Lonchura striata: one gene and its partners. The protein of the gene in region 1 interacts with the protein of each later gene in a pairwise test. Links are inferred from orthologs where the notes say so. Each region holds a gene or a part of one and is shown on either strand. Other genes may lie near its edges. The genes, in order: ARFIP2, CEP63 and MAL2.

What was found.
Region 2: the proteins of ARFIP2 (region 1) and CEP63 interact in binary tests that used the Homo sapiens proteins (3 or more experiments, as listed by UniProt). The link is inferred for Lonchura striata from reciprocal best matches to the Homo sapiens genes ARFIP2 and CEP63.
Region 3: the proteins of ARFIP2 (region 1) and MAL2 interact in binary tests that used the Homo sapiens proteins (3 or more experiments, as listed by UniProt). The two-hybrid records come from large-scale screens. The link is inferred for Lonchura striata from reciprocal best matches to the Homo sapiens genes ARFIP2 and MAL2.

What each region holds. Positions count from the first base shown.
Region 1 is NC_134604.1:116,966,952-116,974,324, reverse strand, and holds the start of ARFIP2 (arfaptin-2), read left to right. Parts: upstream 1-4,347; 5' UTR 4,348-4,431; intron 4,432-5,274; 5' UTR 5,275-5,283; coding exon 5,284-5,382; intron 5,383-5,473; coding exon 5,474-5,582; intron 5,583-6,477; coding exon 6,478-6,588; intron 6,589-7,126; coding exon 7,127-7,242; intron 7,243-7,356; coding exon 7,357-7,373. Other genes in the region: RRP8 (ribosomal RNA-processing protein 8), read left to right, coding at 28-164, 820-933, 1,164-1,345, 1,449-1,674, 2,203-2,413, 2,608-2,876; TIMM10B (mitochondrial import inner membrane translocase subunit Tim10 B), read right to left, coding at 3,671-3,868, 3,936-4,031, 4,235-4,273. UniProt on the Homo sapiens protein: Plays a role in constitutive metalloproteinase (MMP) secretion from the trans Golgi network. May have important functions during vesicle biogenesis at certain cargo subdomains, which could be predominantly utilized by secreted MMPs, such as MMP7 and MMP2.
Region 2 is NC_134612.1:6,433,688-6,440,721, reverse strand, and holds the start of CEP63 (centrosomal protein of 63 kDa), read left to right. Parts: upstream 1-3,995; 5' UTR 3,996-4,027; intron 4,028-4,265; exon of another isoform or gene 4,266-4,632; intron 4,633-6,550; 5' UTR 6,551-6,641; coding exon 6,642-6,685; intron 6,686-7,034. Other genes in the region: ANAPC13 (anaphase-promoting complex subunit 13), read right to left, coding at 414-539, 2,715-2,813. UniProt on the Homo sapiens protein: Required for normal spindle assembly.
Region 3 is NC_134603.1:14,192,655-14,199,906, reverse strand, and holds the start of MAL2 (protein MAL2), read left to right. Parts: upstream 1-4,184; 5' UTR 4,185-4,244; coding exon 4,245-4,379; intron 4,380-6,444; coding exon 6,445-6,615; intron 6,616-7,252. UniProt on the Homo sapiens protein: Member of the machinery of polarized transport. Required for the indirect transcytotic route at the step of the egress of the transcytosing cargo from perinuclear endosomes in order for it to travel to the apical surface via a raft-dependent pathway.

The DNA of each region.
Region 1 (7,373 bases):
GAGGCACTGCTGTGTTGTCCCCTGCAGGGATCGAGGAGCCCCTACACTTGAGGAAGCGACGCCTGCTCAGTCCCGGATTCATGTACAGCCCCTGGAAATTCGCCTTCCTGCGTCAGCACCGCATTGACATGAACTGGCGCAGTGGGGAGCTGCGGCCCCCCAAAGTAGGTCTGGGTGTCCCAGTGCTGACTCCAGGGAGCTGTGGTCCCCAGGGTGAGCCTGGGAGTGCTCCTGCCAGGGGTGGACCCTGGTGGGCTGAGGGGCTGGTGGGGGTCCCTCTGGGGACAGACCTCAGGCCCCTGGTGTGGGGAAGCTGGCGCAGGATCTGCCATGGGGAGCAGATCCGGCTTGTTCAGAGCAGTGGGACAGCAGAAATGAGATCTCCTGGGCCTGGAGAAGGGGGTCCTTTCATTTGCCCCTTTCCAAGGCCCCATCCAGGGCTGCAGCCAGCCTCAGCACCCAAGGAAAGTGCAGTGTCACAGGGCTCAACTGTGTTCTGTGCAGGGTCCCAGAACCCTGGTCATCTCTCCGTGGGGGTCCCTCCTGCCCCTGGACAGAGTCCTCACCACCCCTTCTCTTGCTGCTGGGTTCCTGAGCCTCCTACTCCCTGTTCTGCTGTAACCCCCGGCCCTGCAGCAGACACACCACACACCCCAGCTCCCCTGCCCTGCAGAAGCACCAGGGGGTGCAGGTGGTTTGGAGACCCGTCTGCCTTTCCTCCCCACAGCTCCTGCTACCTTCCCACTGCTCATTATGCTGGGGGATCCTGCAGGCTGGGTGGGGCCACACTGCCCCCCACACCCTCCTGTGCTCCCACAGGTACTGAAGGGCCACGACGACCATGTGATCACCTGCCTGCAGTTCTGTGGGAATCGCATAGTAAGCGGCTCTGATGACAACACACTCAAAGTGTGGTCAGCTGTCACAGGGGAGGTGAGTGTCACTGTCACCAGGCAAGTGAGTGTGGCATTGTCACTGGCGCCACAGGGGCTTGGGGCAGGGACCATCTCCCTGTGCTGGGCACAGCTGGGGCTACACCCTGACTGCTGGGGTCGGTTTGGGCCCGTTATGACAAGGACACAGAGTTGTGCTGCTCCTCTGTGCTGTTTTGGGGTGGGGGAGTGCGAGAGGCTCACCTGCCTCTCCCGTCCTGTTCCCCACAGTGTGTGCAGACGCTGGTGGGCCACACTGGGGGGGTTTGGTCCTCCCAGATGAGGGACAGCATTGTCATCAGCGGCTCCACTGACCGCACACTCAAGGTGTGGAACGCTGACAGCGGCGAGTGCGTGCACACGCTGTACGGACACACCTCCACCGTGCGCTGCATGCACCTGCACGGCAACAGGTACGGGCTGTGGGTGCTGTGTGAGGGAGGACAATATCCACGGGGAGGCTGTTAGCCCCAGGCTGCCCTGGCAGCTGGGCCCCAGGTGTCCCCTCACCCGCAGGGTGGTGAGCGGCTCGCGGGATGCCACGCTACGGCTCTGGGACATCGAGACGGGGCAGTGCCTGCATGTGCTGATGGGCCATGTGGCAGCCGTGCGCTGCGTCCAGTATGATGGCAACAAGGTGGTCAGTGGTGCCTACGACTACACAGTCAAGGTGTGGGACCCCGAGAGCGAGAGCTGCACCCACACGCTGCAGGGGCACACCAACCGTGTCTACTCACTGCAGGTACGGCCCTGCACACATTCCCTCCTGCTGCTCCCCTGCCCTCCCTGCTCCCTGCAGGTACAACCTGCCTTCCTGCTGGCTTGCTATCTCTCCCCTGCCTTCCAGTCATGGGTACAAGCTGTGCCAAAGGTCCCACATGTGCTGTAGGGACAAATAGGCTGTGCGTGTGTCGTGCAAGGCCCTGTGAGCTTTGCAGGGACATGTGTGCCCTGAAGGGGCTGTATCTGCCCTGCAAGGACACATGGACCCTGTTTGTGTCCTTTGGGGACAGTCTCTGCCCCCCTGATCCCACTTCCCACACACATATGCTGTGGACACAAACACTCGTCCATGCCCCTTCCCTGGAGCATTACAGCTCAAAAAGCCAAGAGGCACATGAGCCTGTGTCTCAGCTGCTGAACTGGGGTCGCTGGTGCTGGAACTGGGCGTGCTGTATCCCAGACTAGGGAGTGCCGGAGCTGTGGGCTGTGCCCCAAACCAGGGACACTCCTGTCCTCGATCCTGAGCTGGACCCCTTCTCTCTGGCAGTTTGATGGGACACACATCGTGAGTGGGTCCCTGGACACATCAATCCGCGTGTGGGATGTGGAGAGCGGGAACTGCCTGCACACGCTCATGGGGCACCAGTCACTCACCAGCGGGATGGAGCTGCGTGACAACATCCTGGTGTCCGGCAACGCCGACTCCACCGTCAAGATCTGGGACATCAAGACAGGGCAGTGCCTGCAGACGCTGCAGGGTGAGAGGGGATACCTTACCCCTGGGGGGCAGTGGGATGTTCTCTCCATCAGGGGGCTGGGAAGGGGCAGGGCTGGGAGGGAGCTCCTTGCCCTTGAGACTGGGCTGGCTGTAAGCTGCCAGCTGTGGCAGGATCCATGTCAACAGCAGTGGGTGGCCCAGGTATGCATGGGGCTCATGGGTGCCTCCCCATAGGTCCCAGCAAGCACCAGAGTGCCGTCACCTGCCTGCAGTTCAGCTCCAAGTTCGTGGTGACCAGCTCGGATGACGGGACAGTGAAGCTGTGGGACCTGAAGACAGGGGAGTTTGTGCGAAACCTGGTGGCCCTGGAGAGCGGGGGCTCGGGTGGGGTGGTGTGGCGCATCCGCGCCTCCAACACAAAGCTGGTGTGTGCTGTGGGCAGCCGCAATGGCACCGAGGAGACCAAGCTGCTGGTGCTGGACTTCGATGTGGACCTTAAGTGACCCCGGCCAGCCCGGGGGTCCCGCGGGAGGGGTGGCCCCGGCGCAGGCGCTGGCCCCCGTGGGCAGGACAGAGGGGAGGTCGGGCCGGGCCTTATTTATATGCGCGGGAGTGCCCGGCCGGGCCTGCAGGAGCATGTTTTGTACACGGAATATATCAATTTATTTCTGTACTGGGGCTTGTGCTTACCTGCCTTAAGGCCTGTCCCGGACCCGCAGCTCACGCCCTCTGCCCAGGGGCTGCAGCAGGGAGAGAAGAGGCCAGGATCTCCTAGGGACCACGCATACACACGCCCTTAGCTGGTGGGCACTGGCCTGGCAGCACCTGACATCTACCCCCACCTTGCCCCCTCCCCCTGCCCTGAGTGCCTGCTCTGCACCTGACAGTTGCAGTGAGAATGTTCAGGGCCCTGCAATGTCCCGGTGATCACGGGCGTCCTGTAGGGAGACATTTGTCTCCCAGTGAGGTGCAATTCCCTGGATTCCCTGTTGTGCCATGGGTTCACACAGCAGCGAACAGGGGCCAGGGCTCTGGTGCCCTCCCCACGTGTCACACTAAGCCATTACTGTGAAGATGTTTTATTGGTATTCACACTCCACTTCCCAGAAATCCACAGCCAGGAGGGCTAGGGGGGGCCTTCCCCTGTTCCTGTGCCCCCCATCCTCGGTGCCCTGCATAGCCCAGCCGCTGCTCGGGGCTCCGGGGGCCCAGCGCGGATGCTGCTCCAGCCTGGAGCTCCAGCGCAGCAGGGCTGCTGCTGCGTCCGACGGCCGCGGGGAGCTGCGGCCAGGGGCTTCTACGTGCCGGCAGCGGGAGCGTCTTCCGCGGGGCCCGGGGCCGGTCCAGGGGAGGCCGGCAGTGCGGGCGGCCCCGCCGCAGCGCCGTGCTCGGCTGCGCGGCGCTGCAGCAGCGCCGGCACCAGTCCCACGTAGGCGCCCATCAGGCGGTGGTTGGCGCGGACCAGCCTCGCGGCGCAGCTGTCCAGGCACGACTCCTGCGGGGCACGGCGGGGGTCAGGGGGCGCGGGGGCAGCCGGCCCGCGGCCCCCGGGCCCCGCTCACCTCGCGGCCCGTGAGCAGCCGGTAGTTGAGGTTGCAGACGCAGTGGCGGAAGCAGAGCTCGGTCATGCGGTTGTAGACCAGCAGGAAATCCCGCAGCTGGGGAGCAGGCGCGGATCACACCGGGCGGAGCCGCTCCGGTACCCCCGAAACCCACCGCGAGTCCCGGCGCGCCCCCCGGCCAGCCCGAGTCCCTTCCAGGGCCCCGCCGGCTCTCCTGCGACCCCGGCACCTCGCGACCCCCCAGCTGGAGCCCCGGGACCCCCCCGAAGGCCTGGCGGGACACGCCGCCCCCGGCTCACGCTGCGGAGCTGCTGCCGGTGCTCGGCCGCCGGGTCCATGCCGGGCCCGGCCCGGGCCGCTCCCGCCGCACTCCCCGCGCCGTCACATCCGCCCGGCTCAGCCATGACGCCACCTCCGGGCCCTGACGGCACTTGCGGCGCGCCCGGGCCGAGCGGAGCGGGAGCGGCGCGGGGGGCCCGGCGGGGCCGGGGCGCAGGTGGGGCTGGGGGGCACCGGGGGGCCGCGCACGGCCAGCGGGGCCTGGCCGAGAGAGCCCCGGGAGCCGGGCTGCGGCCGCCGCCGCCCGCTCGGGCCGGCTCCGCCGGGAGCGGCCACCGGGGGTTCCCTCGGAGGTCGGTCCCGTCCCGGGGCCTTGCCGTGCGTGGCTGCGGAGGGCTCCGTGCGGGCGCTGCCCCCGCCCGCCGCGGGGGCTGTGGGGCTGCGGGGCCGTTCCGCGGCCGGGATGGCCCCGGGCGGTGACAGCCTCTGCCCGCAGGGCTCGCCCCCCGCGCTGGGCCGGGCCCTGTCCCCGCCGGGGAGGGCACAGGTCGCAGGTAACGGGTTCTCGGGAGCCCGCCCCGGGCCCCGCCTGCTGTCGAATGTGCCCGGACCGGTCCGAGCGCAGCGGGCCCCCTCCCGCTCTCCTGCGGACGTGGCTCCCGGCGCCGCGCTGCGCGCTGCCAGCGCCGCTGTCCCGGGGCACGGACTGCGGGGATCCCGGCAGGGTTCGTGAGAGGGGGCACGGAGTGCGGCCCGAGGGGCGGGGGAGCCCTGGAGCCCTGGCGTGATGGTGTGGGAGCCGCAGCGGTCTCTGGGATGTGCCACCCCACGGGTCGGTTCTGGGGGCCGGGGGTGTCCCGAGAGACGGTGGGGCCGGGCTGGGAGTGGCTGCAGGAGGCAGCGGGCAGCCTCTGCTCGGTGCCAGCGGCTGCCGATGTGGGCCCTTCTCTCTGCGCCGAAGCCTCCTGCTGTCCCAACACGGCCCCGCAGTACCGGCTGTGGCTGCTGCCCCCGGCCGGGCGGTGGTCCTGGCCCCAGCACCACGGCCGTGTCCCTGCAGGCCCTGAGGATGTCGGACGGGATCCTGAGCAAGGCAGCCACCATGGAGATCCCCATCAGCAGCAACGGGGACACCAGCAGCCTGCCCGAGGACGATGGCCTGGAGCAGGTCTGGAGCTCGGGAACCCTAGGGGGTGTTTGGGTTGTACCAGGGCTGTGCCATCTCTGCCTCTCAGCCCCTGTGCTATTCTGCCCCCCAGGACCTGCAGCAGGTGATGGTGTCAGGACCCAACCTGAATGAGACCAGCATTGTGTCAGGTGGCTACGGGGGCACGGCTGAGGGCATCATCCCCACCGGCACCATCAAAGGTAGTGGAGTTGGGCTGGGAGGGAATGGGGCCATCGTGGGACCAAGGGGCTCATCTCTTCTCAGTGCCCCTGACTCATGACACGAGGCTGTGCCACAGCCTGGCCGAGGTGGCTCCTGGGTGGGCTTGGGTTCTGTGTAGGGGCAGCATGTGGCAGTGTGCACTGATGGCAGAGGAGGGGCTGCTGCCCCAGCTCCGCTCTCCCTGGGCTGCTCCCCTGTCACAGGGTGGGCTCTGCTGGGAATTTCCATCCCCTTGGTCAGGACATCCCCGTGAGATTCTGAATCCCTGCTTGGTGGAGGATCCCTGCTGTGTCCTGGTCCATGTGCAGCGGGAGCTCTGGAGTGTGCTGGGGATGAGGGGGCAGGCAGGGGCACAAGCCCACACTCTGCTGACCCCTTCTTGCTGTCCCAGTCAGACCGGGCCACAGCGGGGCCAGCTGGGCTCTGCACCCTGGGAGACCTGGCAGCACTGTCCTTGTTCCATGCAGATCTCTCCCTGAGAGATCTTCCCCAGGGCCTGAGGAAGGTCCATATGGGCAGAGAGGGAGACTGCACGGGTGTGCACTTCCCCGGAGCACCGCCACTGCTGGCCCGGTGTCCCTGTGTCTCTGTGTCCCAGCGTGCTCGTGATGCCAGGCCTACCCAGCCCTTGGAGTGCAGGGGTTCCTGCACAGGGGCCAGAGGTGGGGGTTTCCTGGGCTGGGGCATCCGTCTGTGAGGCTGTGGCAGTGTCTCTGGGTTCCAACGCTCACCTGCTGCCGTCGCTCTCCCGCTGCCGCCCGCCCGCGCACTCGCCCCTGTCCCTTGCCCCCCCGTCCCTCTGCCCTGGCTACCCCACTGTGCCATGCCCTGTGCCCCCATCCTGTCCTGCCCCACACTGCTCAGCCCCCGCAGCCCCCCCATTTCCAGGCTCTCTTGTCCACCCTCACCCCCCCCGAGGACCGTCGGTTGCCCCCAGCGCGCCTGCTGCCCGTAGGATGGCCCGCCCGGCCGCGGCTCCCGCAGGTACTGCGCCCCCCACTCCACCCCGGGCGTCCCTTGGGTCTGGGGGCCCCGGGCCTCCCTAGGGACGTTGGTAAGAACCCCCATGGCGGCTGTGTCATGGCCAGAGCCTGGTCCTGGGGCTGATCCTTGTGCTGGGACAGACGACAGCACTGGTGGGCCCAGGGGTTTCAGAGGTGGGTCCTGGCCAGAGGGGCCCACCCTGCCCCTGGAGCCCACCTGAGGGGCTCCCAGTACTACTGGGCAGTGTTCCCCCTGTGTCCAGCCTGGTGACAGCAGTCGGCAGGAATGGGGCAGGGCTTGGTGCAAGCAGATATGGCTGGGCTGGGATCTGTGCCCCTGTGTGGGACCCTCAGGGGGGCTGGCAGGAGCAGGGTCCTCATCACAATGCCTGTGAGCCAGTGCTGGGCATATGCCTGGAGCTGGGCATGCTGTTGTAGAAATAGCAGCTCCAGGACAAGGGCTCTGGAGGCTGGGGCTGCCCGTTCCCCGTGGCTGCCGCCCTCGTGCAGCTGGTGCCATATTCCTGTCCCTGTGCCAGGCCCTGGGCTGCACCCACCACCCCCAGGACCCCCGCCTGGTGGAGAAGAGGTCGTGCGCGGCATTGCCGTTGAGAAGTTCGACATTGTCAAGAAGTGGGGGATCAACACCTACAAGGTGAGTGTGAGGGGACACCAGTGGGCCTTCCTGCTCCCCTCCCATGAGGAGCTGCTCTCGGTGTGGCTCGGGGGACTCACAGGCGCCTTGGGGCCCTGTGTCCCCCTGCTGCAGTGCACCAAGCAGCTGCT
Region 2 (7,034 bases), on another chromosome or scaffold:
TTAAAGATGGCAACAACTCACAGCTATTTGGGTTTTGTACACTGAACTCTAGACAATAATCCCACTGAGAACTTCGAAATCAATTGCAATTTGAGACAGTAAAAACTTTTTAATCGTGTAGAAAACATTTAAGATCAGAATTGGCACCAACTTAAGAACAATTTAACAGAAAACATGAAATAATCTTATAAGCATGAAACATTTTGCACTTGGCTCTGAGATGTCAGAGCCTCTGCTATTTCACATTCAAGAAAGAAGCATTTTAAAGAAGCATTGTGAGCAGAACCACTGTTGGAATCTGAAAATCTGGAATGCTGTTTCCTCCTTAGGGCAGCTTATGACAGCAATGGTCAGCCAAAAAAATATTTTTATGTTGCATTCATGCATCCACTGTTAGAAATCCCACTGATTCACTAATTTCCTGTGGGTGGAACGTTTTCATGGAGATACTGGAGAGCCAAATCTGTCCACTTCATTTCTTGCTCTTTCACAGACTCAGTGGTGCCACCGTTGTCTTGCTCTGGTTCAGGGAGCTCATTCTGAGAACAAAACACAGGTAGAATGCATTCCACATGTAATACACTTTCTGCAAGCAGCAGGTTGTTATGATTAGTATGGATAGATACAAAACCCACAAACGAGACCAGAGGGTGCATCTGAACAATAAATATCATACATACTGATCCACTTAAAAATATTGCTGAGCCGCATCATGAACAGTATTCTTTTCATTTGAATATGGTTATTCTTTTAATTTGAATATTCATTTGAATGTGTTTAATCTGAAAGGTAAATTGTTTTCCAGGACCCTGGGGCCTTGCTATACACTCAGACTGCACACACAGTGAGGGAGAATATACAGCAAATGCAAAGTAAGTAAATAACAGTACAATGCATTTATTCCACTGTTTGTTTGCAATGTGCTGTTTCTGCTGTTGCCAAGAATACAAATACTGCAGACAAATGGTTCTGTAAAATGTTACTTTCTTATGGCAGGTTAGAAGTCCTTCCTGTCTGTATGCTGGAGTCAGGTGTAGCTGTGCTGGATCAACAGCAGAAGCCAGAACCCCCTGCCAGGTGTGCCCCAGAGCTGCTCACAGCACAGTAAAGGGAAGGAAAGTTTAACAGATTTCATTTTACTTCCTTCTATTATTTGTTCTCTGTCTTGCTGTATTGGTGTAGTCACACTGAGTGTGTGCTATTCTGCCAGATACCATTTGGGCAGGAATTCTGAGTTCTAGAATTTAGAGTTCTAGAATTTCCTCTGGAAATCCCAGCTGGAGCTAGATAAAGTGTTTCAGCTTTGAAAACAATGAATGATTTGAACACATCTGAGTTCCCAGAAATGGCTTGATTAAGCACTGGAGCAGATTCTCAGGACAGGCTCAAATACCACTTTCACAGCCATTCTGGTGCTCCTTTGCAATGTCCCTGAGTAAGTCCCCTGTGAATTCATGCTGTTTTCTCTATGTGATCAGAGCCAATCCCATCTCTGGGGATCTTTATATCCACAGCCAGGCCTTTCTATTGGTAGTTGGTGAGGCTTCCTTCTCTGAGGCTGTCATTGTATGTGACTGTAAGCCATCACGAGATGGCTCTAAGGGAAGAAACAATAATGTTTGGACTCAGGGTAAAGGCAATTGTCAACAAGGAACCTGTTTATGATACTCGGCTTGCCTAATAAAGGCAAAGGAGGGTTTGTGCTCTTTTAGCTGAGAATCACGCTTCTGCAAGATGCTTCCCTCAAGCCCAACTCTTGGCAGGAAAATGTGTGCTGTACATATGGACTTTGAGTTGTGCAGCTGCTCCTCGCCCTCTCTGAAAAGCCAGTGGTGGCAGGGCTGACGCTTGAACCATGCCACAAATTTGGAGATGTCTCTCTGCTGAAAGAAACCCCACAATCCCCACGGCTGCTTTATGTGAGCTAGCTGGGGTAAAGCTCGTGTACCAGAGAGAAAAAGGGAAAATCCTCAGCTACCTCTAACTTCCCTGTAAGTTTCAAAATAGCCAAGGAAAGGTGTCAGTGTGGGAGATCTGAAGCTTTAGCTCTGGGCTCTGTGGGATCAGCAGTAGCTTTTCCCCTGCTGCCCCTCTCTGACTTTGCAGCTGTACCCTGGATGAAAAGAGAGGTGCCATGCCTTGGACACATCACCACAGGCAAGAGTCCTGCTGCACCTGCCAGTCCTTCACTGCTGTCCCGGAACTTCCAACAGCAACACTGAATCTGGAAAAGACTGCTTTGAAACACTTACGAAAATGTCTCAGCTTCTTTTAATGGCATTGCAGGAAGCAGATATAAAGTGTAACCAAGACTGGAACTGTATGTGAGACTGATCCTCTGCTCTCCCAACAACCAGGAAAGTACCTCAAACACCAGGAACAAGAAAGGGAAGCAGAGAAAAAGGATGATTCTACTTCTCCCTGATGCCAAACCTAGGAGAGTGCAATGGGAAAGGAACTCCAGTTCTGAGAGGATTCAGCAACTGGTCAGGGGACAAGCAACAGAAGCATCCATGTCCTCATGCACTCAGGAATGACTGGCATATAGGGCACAGAAGGAGTCCCTTCCGTGAGAGACTGGATCTTCCGTGGAGATCCAGGAGCCTCTTGTACAAATTAGCCGCACCACGAGGAACATTCTGTGCCTTTTCTTGGAAGGGACTGTGATGAACGCAGCAGCCTTAACTCAGATTGATAAGTAGCAATTCACCTACCAGAGGGATGGCCACATCCTCGTAGGGCAATTTATCTTCCCTCCACGCATCATCGATCAGATCCAGGATCCTGCCATCCCTCTGCACCTCGCTGTCCATCGTCACAGCGGCGAGAGCAGCTAAATCTGTGACACAAAGCAGATGCTGTTTTAGCAACATCCCCAGCCAAGGAGCTGGAGTCTGGACTATTGGCTTGCTCCAGTTTTGATGAAATCCATATGAAATTTAAACTTACAAGGATACCTTGATTTCCCTAATCCACACAAAAAAGGGTTATAACCACATAGAACAACTTCATCTGAAAAGAACTCTATCAAAGTGAATTGCAGACTGATATGCACTGGAAATTAATATATAAAACCAGATGGTTATTACTGATATTTACATGTATTTTATATCTACTGACTGACTTTTAGAAGTCTAATTTGAGTGAGTTTGAGCACCTAGAGCTGCTCAGAAGCCTTTGCTGGCTGCTGGCTTACAGCTCCTGAGCAGTGACGTGCCTCACCTGTCTGGGAGAGTCACAACAAAGGACTTCAGGGTACCCAGAATTCTGCCCGAACCTGAAGTGCAGGAAACCGGTGAAAGAGAAGCAAAACGAGACCCATCTTTCACCCGCATCTCCTATAATTACTCCAGACTGTTTAACTGTACTCTGCCCTCCTTGAAGGATCACCTCAGGCCCTCGCCCCGGTGTGATGCTGCGGGGCGGCAGCAGCAGGCAGCCCGACCCTGGCGGGTGTGAGAGAACGGGCACTCGTTCAAAACCGAGCCAGGCCTGGCACTCGCCGGCTGCCGGAGCCGCGATGTGGGCGGCGATGGGCACGGGGCTGAGCGCACCCCAGCCCCGGCGCGCTGCGCTCCCTGCCTCTCCCGGCCAGCACGGCTCCGTGTTCCGCGGTGTCCCAGGGCTGTGTCCCAGGGCTGTGTCCCAGGGTTGGGTTGTGTCCCCGCGGTGTCCCAGGGCTGTGTCCCAGGGTTGTGTCCCAGGGTTGGGTTGTGTCCCCGCGGTGTCCCAGGGCTGTGTCCCAGGGTTGGGTTGTGTCCCAGGGCTGTGTCCCAGGGTTGGGTTGTGTCCCAGGGCTGTGTCCCAGGGTTGTGTCCCAGGGTTGGGTTGTGTCCCCGCGGTGTCCCAGGGCTGTGTCCCAGGGTTGGGTTGTGTCCCAGGGCTGTATCCCAGGGTTGTGCCCCCCTGTCCCCGCGCTCCCCAGCCCGCCCTACCCTGCCCATCTCCGCGGCCGCTGTTGCGCAGGCGCGGCCCCAGCGCATGCGCAGCGCTGCCGGGGCGGGGCCGGGCCGTGCCCGCTGCCAGGGTGGGAAAGGCGGGAAGGAGGGAGGGAGGAAGAAGGAACGGAAGAAGGAAGGGAGGAGGGCGGCTCGGCCAGCCAGCGCCGGGGTGTCGGGCAGCCCGCAGCGGAGCTCCCCGGGGCGCGGCGCCGGAGGGGCTCGGGCAGCGGAGCTGTGCCGCGGCGGGCGCGGGGCAGGCGCTGTGAGGGCTCGGCTGCGGCTGGGAGCAGCGGCGGGAGCGGGGAGTGCCGGCCGGGCCCGCTGGCCCCGGCCGCTGCACGGACCTAAGCGGCACCAGGGCCGGACATTAGGAGCAATTCCTTCACAGAACGGGTGATTAGATACTGGAAAGGGCTGCCCAGGGCGGCGGCGGCGGCGTCCCCATCCCTGGAGGTGTTTAAGGAAAAGACTGCACGCGGCACTCGGTGCTCTGGGCTGGGTGACAGAGTGGGGATCGGTCACAAGATTGGACTTGATGGTCTCAGAGGACTTTTCCGAGCTCAGTGACTCTGAGATTCTCGCCCTGGCGAGGGCTGGTTCACTTCGGGCTCCTGCCGCAGGTGCCGTTCCTGCCGCTGGCAAGCGGAGCTCGCCCGTGGTATTGCTTTTGGGAGCTCCTTTTGTGTTCATTGTAAGCATGCTTCCAGCAACGCTTTAAGATTGCATCTTTCTGTGTTTCTAAGTGCGAAGTAATCCCAGTCTTGTCGCATGGGCACTATTCTTAAGTCCTCCTGTGTATTGTAAAGTTCTCTCCACTTCACTCTGCTACAGTTCTGCCTTGAGCTGGAATGCTAAACCTTTTTTATTTTTAAATGTGTTGTCTTGTTTTGGACTTTTTTTTTTTTTTTTTCAAATACTTCACATTTCTTCACTTTCAGAGGTGATCAGCCAGCTTTCCTTCCTTCAACTGTAGTTAATGAAGGAGATTGTTTCCTCTTCTGGGTCTTTACTCAGGTTCCTGTAACTTGCACGTTGCAACTTGCAAGCATGAGAGGCCAAAATGTAATACTAAGTCAGCAAACTGTACGTAGCATAGAACTGGCTAGAGGTGTCTGATTTTAAGGCTTTTCCCCAAAATCTGGCTATGCCAACTGTGGCTGTGCCTCCCATGGGAGCGTCCAAGGCCAGGTTGGACAGGGCTTGGAGCAACCTGGGATAGTGAAAGGTGCCCCTGCCCATGGCAGCAGTTTAGCATGAGATGGCTTTAAGATCCCTTCCAACCCAAACTGTTCTGGAATTCTATGCTGTCTGTCTCCTCATCTCTCTGCCCACTGAAAATTGATTCTGTGTAGGTGTGATTAGAATGAAAGAGGAGAGCTGCTACTGTCTAATGTCTGCTGTGGCCACCTGGAGAGCTCTTGGAATGCTGTCAGCAGCTCAGGGGATCTGCTCATCTGCTCTCCTCAGCACCCTGCCCTCAGCAGAACCACAAAGTTGTTCTGCATACTGATTGAGTTTTGTTACAGCACCAAAGACAGATGAAACAGTGTCAGAATAGGAATAGGATTTTTCTCTGTGCATTTTTTATATGGCTGTGGTTTAAAACACTGCTCCCAAGGACAGGTTTTAATCTCTGAGTTGTGTTTTTAAGTGCTGTAGGAGCACGATAGAAGATTCTTTGGGAAAGAGAATGAAGCTGAGCCTGCATTTGTCAAAGTCTCCCTTGCTGTGACCTGTTCCCCTTTTGCTGATTGCTTAATAATGTTATATTAATCTTTGAGGAAAGATGGTGGAAGAATTAATCTTCAGTACTTGGAAAATGTGTAGATTTTGGAAACAGAAATTTGTGTTAATAGCTCTGGACAAGTTAACCATTTTTATGTTAGCTGCAGTTTCATGAAGGAGATATTGAAATAAATTCTGGCTTCCTGGCTCTGGTTGCGTGGAAAATTTTTATTCCCCATTTTTGGCTTTAATGTAAACTCTTCTCACTTTCACCACAATATGAAATTTCTTTGGGTATGCATGTGTTTGTTACTTAAAAGGTGAATTTTTAACTGAAGCAATGTACTGCTACTATAAAGCTGTTCAACTTATTTTCATAATTTAAGAGGAAATTTTAAGGAATTTATGTTTTCTTAAAATTCCCACAACTGTATGAAGAGCCAGTGTGTTCTGAATGCTGTGGTAAACTACATGGTCTCTTTAAGCTAGTCTATAATAGAGGCCTGGAAAATATGTAATTTATGGATGAATTCTTACTGCTACTTGCTGGTGTTTTCTCTCTGAAGTGACAAACTTTGAAATCCAAATGTTCCTGTTTCTCCACATGCTGGTGCTCCCAGTAGATCTACCAGTCCTTCTGTTGAGTTCACACAAGTGCAGAGTCTAATTGCTGCTCTCTGAATTTATTAGATCACATGATTATATCACTTCAATTTGGTAGTGTTGGATGATAGCATTGGGTATATTTTTCTGATAGAAAAATCTGTTTTCCTCTGTTTGGCTTGTAAGTTCATGAAGGTGCCATTGTTTTCCTCACCTGTAATTCCATATTCTTTGTATGCTTTTTGACTTCTGTGCTTTTTGGGCTTCCACTTTTCCTGCAGTTGGATGGAGAAGCAGCCTGGTTTGTGCATTACCATGGGTGACCACTGCTTTCCTGTACTTCCCTAGTACTGAAGCCACCAGGATTCAGTGATGGAGGCTTTGCTGGAAGGAATGCAAAGAAATGGGCAGGGGAGGTATGTATGCAACTGTACACAGCAGTCATTCCAAATGATTTAAGTGTTAACCTTGCCTCTTATTCAGAATAAATCCTCTGGTGTAAGTGTGCAGTGGCCCTCAGCTGCTGCAGAAGCGAAGTCACTGGGGGAGCTGGCTCTGTGCTAAACCCTGCTTATAGTCTTAATTGTCAGAAATTTAGTTGTACATCTTCCTGAAACCTCAGCCTCTTTTTCTCAGTTGTTGTTGTAAACTATTCTTACTGTCCAACATCAGGAGCAGTAGTAAATAGAGTTGTGAATAAATATTTATTTTGTAACAGCCTCGCAAGGTTAATGAGATGTGACTTTGTTATCTGATTTCACTGAA
Region 3 (7,252 bases), on another chromosome or scaffold:
CTACCAGCAGTACCAAAGGCACGGGTCTGTGCTGCATCTGCAAAGGCAGCACTTGGCACAGCCTCCTTCAGCCCCCCTGCAACCAGCTCAACTGGTCCTCTTTTATACCATGAAGCTGGAAGGGGACAGGATAAAAAAATGTATTGCTGCTGTGCAGTCTGTGCACTGTTTTCCCTGGGCAATTCTGTCCTAAACAATCAGTGCTATTTACTCATCCCTCATCTCCAACAATATCATGCTCCCAGTTTGTACTTCTGAGACTTTAACACTCTCTTCTGAGGACAATCCATGCAAACCATTTTTCCTGGCTCACCTATGCCAAGAACAGAACACTTGACTTCTTGAGACATTTTCCCATTAGGTAACTTGGCTTTGCTCTGCCATGTCCCTCTCTACCCACCTTGCCTCCTGTACCATCTCAGGTCAGGATCTTCCTCTTTGCTATTAAGAGATTCTGCATTTTTACTTTTGCTGCACCCTTACACAGCTAAAAGGAATTTCTTAAAGTAAATAAAAGGAAAATTGGCCCTTGGCATGCTATACTGTATTGCTAGAGACCAGCAGTGCCACCAAGTCAAAAATGAACCGCTGGTAAGCTTAGGAACATGGAAACAATGTTATGAGAACAGGTGAGGAACCTCAGCCTGACCTCCCTAACACCAGCTGACTCCAGCAGGGTCCCTGGCTCTGTGCCAGCCTCCAGCTGTGTGGTGCCTGTGTGAAGGGATCCTCAAACACCCCTAACCAGCCAGCAAAGGATTCCCTGCTTCAAAGGGCACCCTGAGAGCCAAAGCAGACAGGAAAATGCCTTTCATCCCATGGCTCTGGGCACGGAAGACACTTCTGCAGGAAGAGGCCATGTCCAAAGTACCACCATAGCATTATGAGCCAGCCAGAAAATGCTGCTGAGAGCAGCTCTGAGACTGCTTGAAGCTGCTCCAGGGACTGGTTTGGTAACCAGCCATCCCTGGCACTGGTGGACCAAACAGGTGGCACATTTATCTTCATCTCCTCAGCACACATCCCAAGCTCAGTTTAACTGGATTAAGTGAGAAATTTCAACAGTTGTTTTCCTCTTGGTGCAAGAAGGGGCAACATGCATTCACAAACTTGGCCCTGCTTGTTAAAAAAATTAAAACTGTTGCACTGCCTCACAAGAAACCTCAACAATGTGGTGGTATTTGCACACTAATTCATAATATGCATAGATCCAACCATGATCCTGAAGTTCTGTTACCACTTACTAAATACACTACAACAAATGATGCTAAAGGCATTCCTTATCATTCATCTTATGCAAGCCAGTTTTATGCCAATTTAATTTCACTGGCTAAGGGGTAATGACCCCAGAGTTTGTACCAGTGTGAGATCAGAATCCTGTATGAAATTTCCAGGAGCATGCTAAATTATTTCATCCATAAACAAAAAGCCTGTGTTGCATGATCAACTCCAGGCTTTCTATTTTTGATATGTAACTAACTTAGGAGAGTTTGTATTCCACATTAAGAAATAGCAGCTTTGCAAATCTAAAAGAAACACAGACAACTATTAGGGGCAACTTCCTCCAGAACAAGAAAGAAGCGGATCCTGTCTAGAAAACCTTGCCTAGTTCCACTCTGGCTTGGGGAATCTGTTTGTGCATAAACAGAGCCACAGGAAAACAGGGTTACTGTCAATTATTTGGTTTGTATTTTCCATCTCTTTGACCATTTTGGCAGACCACCCTGGTGCACTCCATAACATAGGACATGAGATAACATCTCTTCCTGAAATGCTTCTGATAACATAGATAAGGCATTAAGGACCATGAGTTCTGAAATTGGCATTACTTTCACCTGTTATCTAGTATCCTTACTAATATTCAGCTCTTCCAGAAGTATCAATGCCATACCTCACAAAAGGTAGTCTGAATCTTGCTGCATGTGACTGCTGTGTAATTTTCATATCCAGTATGATGTACACATGTACACTGCTAAACCAGCAACTGGTTTAGTAGTTCTGTGACAATGCTTCCTTTACATTAGACTGCCATAGCATTAGAACATGAAGGGAATAGAGCTTTTTACAGCTGCTTAAGAGCAATTTTTACTCCTTGTGGTTGTATAGACAGACTTTCCTACTCACAATGAATCAATATACTTCTGCCTACCTATTCACTTTGGTGGACTGGAAGCTGCATCATTACTTTACCTTCTAACATGCCAAGATGCAATTAGTTATACAAAAATGCTATTAAAAAGCAGTTAAACACAAACATGTGCTTTTGCATGGAAACTTAATCTCTTTAAAAAATCCAGTTCTTTAAAGATTCAAACAGTACATGAATCAGTATAAAAGCAATCCCACAGGGCATGCAGCACATCTTGCCTGAACACAGCAAAAATAATTTAAAGAGACACTTAATTTAAGCTTTAGGAAAAAGCAGAGAATTAGGCTTCAGGAAAAAGCACAGCCAAAAATCTACTCAGTAGATCTATACCTAATTGTGAAAGTGAAATTTGGACTTTTTTGTTAGAACCAACTAAATTTCAATAAAATAAGTGTTATAAGGAACGTGCAAGTAAAAAGAAATAGGATTTACAAGCACATGGTATGTAATCATTAGTAAAATCTAGTACTGCTAGGAGTTCACACAGATTAACTATGCAGCTAAATAATAACACTGGAAATGTTTATGACCAAGTATTATTTGTACTTCCTTTGTGTAAGATAAGGACAATCACATTTCTTGTTCTGAATCATAAACCAGCCCTGTTTTCCACTGTCTCAGACTTCTCCCTCTGCAGGGCAGTCTTAACAGATTTAGGGCCAGACTGTGACTTTTATTTGACATATGGTCTCCAGATAACAATCCCAAGAACAAACCTCCTACACCTAATCACTTATGCACAAGTATCAATCCCATTCCTTTCCAAAACAGCCAAAACAGGTCCTGTAGGCATGCACTTCCAGAGCCTTAAGTCTTTTCCTGAAGATAAAAGGATGGAACACAAGGTTCACTTTTCAAATAGGTCTAGAGGAAAAAAATAATATATCATTGGATAGGCAATGGGGTAAAGCACTCAGAAAAGAGGGGAGGCTGTGCCTTCTTCAGCCTAATGGGGATTCAATCCAGCATCTCCTACTTAAGAGTTCAAGAGGCATCCAGCTACAAGAGGCATAGAGATGAAGACAGAGCACAAGAAAGAATGTGAACTTTTGCTTCTTCCTCCTTTAGATGCCAAGATTTCAAAGCCAAGCAATCATTAATGCATTTTAAAAGCATCACAAATCTATTTGTGTACGGAATGGTATGGCAGAAACACAGATGAGTCCTGTTTTATGGTGCCAACTGCTCTCCACCTAGGGCTTGGATTGGGGTGGGGAAGACAGGCATCTCAGGATGTGGCATTTCTTGTCATCACAAAAGCATACCCGAGAAACATCATGCATCGAAAAGAAAGGAATAAGGTCTTTATACCCAAGTCAGTTCAATCTCCAGAGCAGCTACATACACTTGCATGAAACCTTCTTAAAATGTTATCTCTAAAATCGCAGCCGTATGTGTGGAGTATGAACACTGAATGGGATAACATTGGGTGAAACAGTCTTGGTCATTCCAGAGGTAGCACATCTCAGCCTAAGGCACAACGGGAGAAATAAGTGAAGTGCTGCTGGATGGCATCTCCATCTGGAGAAGATGCTTGTATAAAGAAGCATAAGAAAATAAATGGATTATAAGTAGTCTCATGAATGTATACCTTTCTCTACCCCAAAGTTTTACAAACATTTTCTACTACTTTTAATCAGTGGTACACAGTTGAGCCAGACCGAGCAATAAGAAGATACAAATGAAATGTTTTCAATATTTTGAATGGATAACCTAGTAGGCGCCTTTAAATAAAACAGTGCAACGACTCAATTTCGAAGCCCGAACATCCGTAACCAGAAGGTAAATAAAAACCTTTTGCAAGCCGGCATTGGGAAATCACGCCCGAGTCCGGCTGGCCTGATTCAGGACTCGTGAATGCGGAGCGCCGCGCTGCCGTGAAGCCGGGAGGCAGTGGCCGGACACGGCCCGAGCCCGGCTCCGGCCCCGGGCCCGGCCCCGCTCCGGGCGAGGCGCGGCGGCTGCGGGGCGGGGCCGGGCCGGGCCGGGCCGGGCCGGGGGAGGCGCGGCCGGCCCGCCCGCACCTGCGCCGCCCTCACCGCCGCCTCCTCGCCCACCTGGCCGCGCTCGGCACGGCCGCCGCCGCCGCAGCAGCATGTTGCCCAGGGGAGCCTCGTCCATGCCGCCGCCTCCCAACCCCGCTCCCTACTTCCCGCCTCCGCGGGTCACGCTGCCCTCCGGCCTGGAGATCCTGCGCACCTTCTCGGGAGCCGTCATCTTCCTGGAGATCGTGAGTGCAGGGCCGCGGTGGGGAGCGCCAGGGCCTGCCGCGCCGCTCGCCTGCCATCTTGTGAGCGGGGCAGGGGCAGGTGCGGGGCCGGGGCTCCGCCCGCCCGGCTCGCTGCCCTCGGCCGCGGCCCGCACGCAGATGGGCTTCGCGGGGCTCCCTCAGCTGTCCGGGGCTTTGAGCCACGCTCTGCTCCCGACCCGAAAAGGCACCACGGAGAGTTACACCAGGTTCTGTCTGCGCGCCTGTTGCGCGTCCTCTGCAAACTCCTACGAGCGTGCTCAATGGCACGTGTGTGTTAGACCCCGCAGGAGTACGCAGGGCTGAGGACCTTTGAGCTGAGCTTGGATATGGCGCTCTGTGGTGCCACTGATTAATGGGTGATGAAAAACAAAAAAGCTTGGTAGAACCCCTCTGACTTTATTAATTTACTCTTTCCCGTACGGTCAGAGCAGAATACTACTTGGGTCCCAGACTGTGAGCTGGGTCCCACCTCACAAGCTTTAAAATTGTACCTGAGTAAGGAGCAAGCTGAAACTCGAAACACAAGTCCGGGCACTAAATCAGGCCCAGAGGCAGTAGGGACAAAAGGTTAGTTCAGCTGGCCAACCAATTGTACTCTGACAGGCAAGCTGTTGTGGACAGGTGTAGCGTGAGGGAAGTAGCACAACAGTGGGTGCTGAGATTAGCAGTCTCTACAGTACAGTTCTAAATTTATTTTTAAGGAACCCTGCAAGTCTGCACATTGAAAATACTGAAAGCATTTAATGTGTCTCTGTTTTTTGTTTAACAGACACTTTCTGCTATCCCTTTTGTTTCCTCACTGCCCATCACTCTCTGGTCACCAAGTAACAGACTTGCACCTGCAGTCTTATGAAACTAGAGAAAGTTTGGTTCTTCACAGATAAAAAAGGAACCCTAGAGAACAACTTGAACAGTAATACATAAACCCATGGGAGCTTTGAACTGAGACTAGCAATGCATCTTTACACATGTGCTGCTGCACCAGAGAGGAACCAACTTATTTTGTAGCAGGCATCTTTTGAAAGGTATCTCTTATCCAACTGTGATACAAAAGAAAGCTATCTGAATCTGAAAATGTAACCTCTGACTTCCTGGTTTGTAAATCTGTGGAATTCAAACAGGAAAGAAGTTACTTGCGCTTGGAAATATATTTTAGTTGACACTATTCAGCAGTTTGGATTATGAATTTAAATCTTTCTGTCATAAACAAACATACTTGGAGTGAATCATAATTGTCATCTATTTATGTTTTTTTATTAAGAGGCAGGATTTGCAGGAAGAAATAGTTGTGTTCCTTAGGCCAAAAGTTGATTAAGCCAGGGAAGCCTTAGAGTGTGTAAATTCTCCATCACCATCCCTAGCACAGTGTCCCTACCACTCATTTGCCGTGAGGAGTCTGCTGAAATGAAATTGGCACTGCTGAATTCTTCTCCAAGTTATGATGATTCTGGAAACTTCTATATTTTTCTAGTCTTTACAGCATAGTTTACAACTCACCTTATTCTGTATTCTAGGTTTTTTTCTTTTGTTTTATGCTTTCTGTCCTCCTTCAGCTTGGTATTACAAATATATTGAAAAAATGGGTGTCTTTTTATCTCCTTTCTGTATCTCATCTGATTAGGACTTCAAAGCGAAACATTATGAAATTGAATCCAAAGTAGTAGAAGTACATCCTTTTTGTGCTAATTTGCGTATTTAGAGAGAGATTTGTGTGTGTGTGTACTGTGTTTTCACATTTCTTATATTTTATTCAAAATTGCAGTAAGGATAAAATTTTCAGCAGGACACAAGTCACCTGGGTTTGTAAATCCCATTTTCAAGCCTATTTTAAGAACCTTTAGGAATTTCAGAGTGGCTTTGTATTTTCACCACTTAGTGCCTATCATTTCTGAGAGGAGGACTTGGGCTCTCCGAGTACTTTTGAAGTGTTTCTTCTTGGTTTCTAAGAGTCATCTGATGATATGTAATGTGTGATATCAGTTCTTAGGCAGAAAGTACTGAGTAAAAGCTGTCCAGTTTATTCTCTGTATTCCTTTCCTTGCAGCTGTTTGGAACAATAGTCTGGATTTTGGTCGCCTCTACCCAAATTCCACTGGCACTGCTGCAGGGATGGGTAATGTTTGTGGCAGTGACGGCGTGGTTCCTCTCCATTGTCTTCCTCTCTGTGTTCCTCTTTGGTTATGCAAATAGAATTGCTGTCAACTGGAACCAGGCGGTAAGATTTTTCATTTGTTTAAGGATTCCCTTTGTTTTATAAACTGAAAATTATTTAATGAGACGTGTCGATCCTAAGTCTTGGCACCTGGCTTTCTGCTTTAGCACAAAGTTTTTTCAAACAGGAATTCAAAACCAGAAAAAGAAAGAACAAGATTACAGAGGTGGCAGAGGAAACTGTTTTATGATGGAGGCTGAAGGAGCTTTTGAAGCTGTTTAATGGAGTACACTTGTCCTCTCTGAACACATAAAATGTATGAGCAGCAGGAAGAGCACTAACTTAAAAGGTGTGGAAAGAAATTGGTTTAAATGGCCAGGAATTATTGTGCACTGGGAATCAGAAAATACTTTCTGACTATTAGAGAAGTGGTAGTAACACCTCATGAATAATGAGATGTAGAAAGATATATCAAATATTATAAAGGAAAGGATGAATTTGTGAACATGCTGTGTGATATGGTTGTCTGAGGTAGCACAGACTGGACTTCAGCACCCAGAATATCCCCTCCAGTTCCTAAGAAAGTCTACTGGTGACTTTGGGTCAATTGCTCAAAGCTAGGGCAGCAATGGTGAGTGGCTGTTAGACCTTAAAAAAGACATCATAACCTGCACTATGATATATCTTAACATCTTATTAG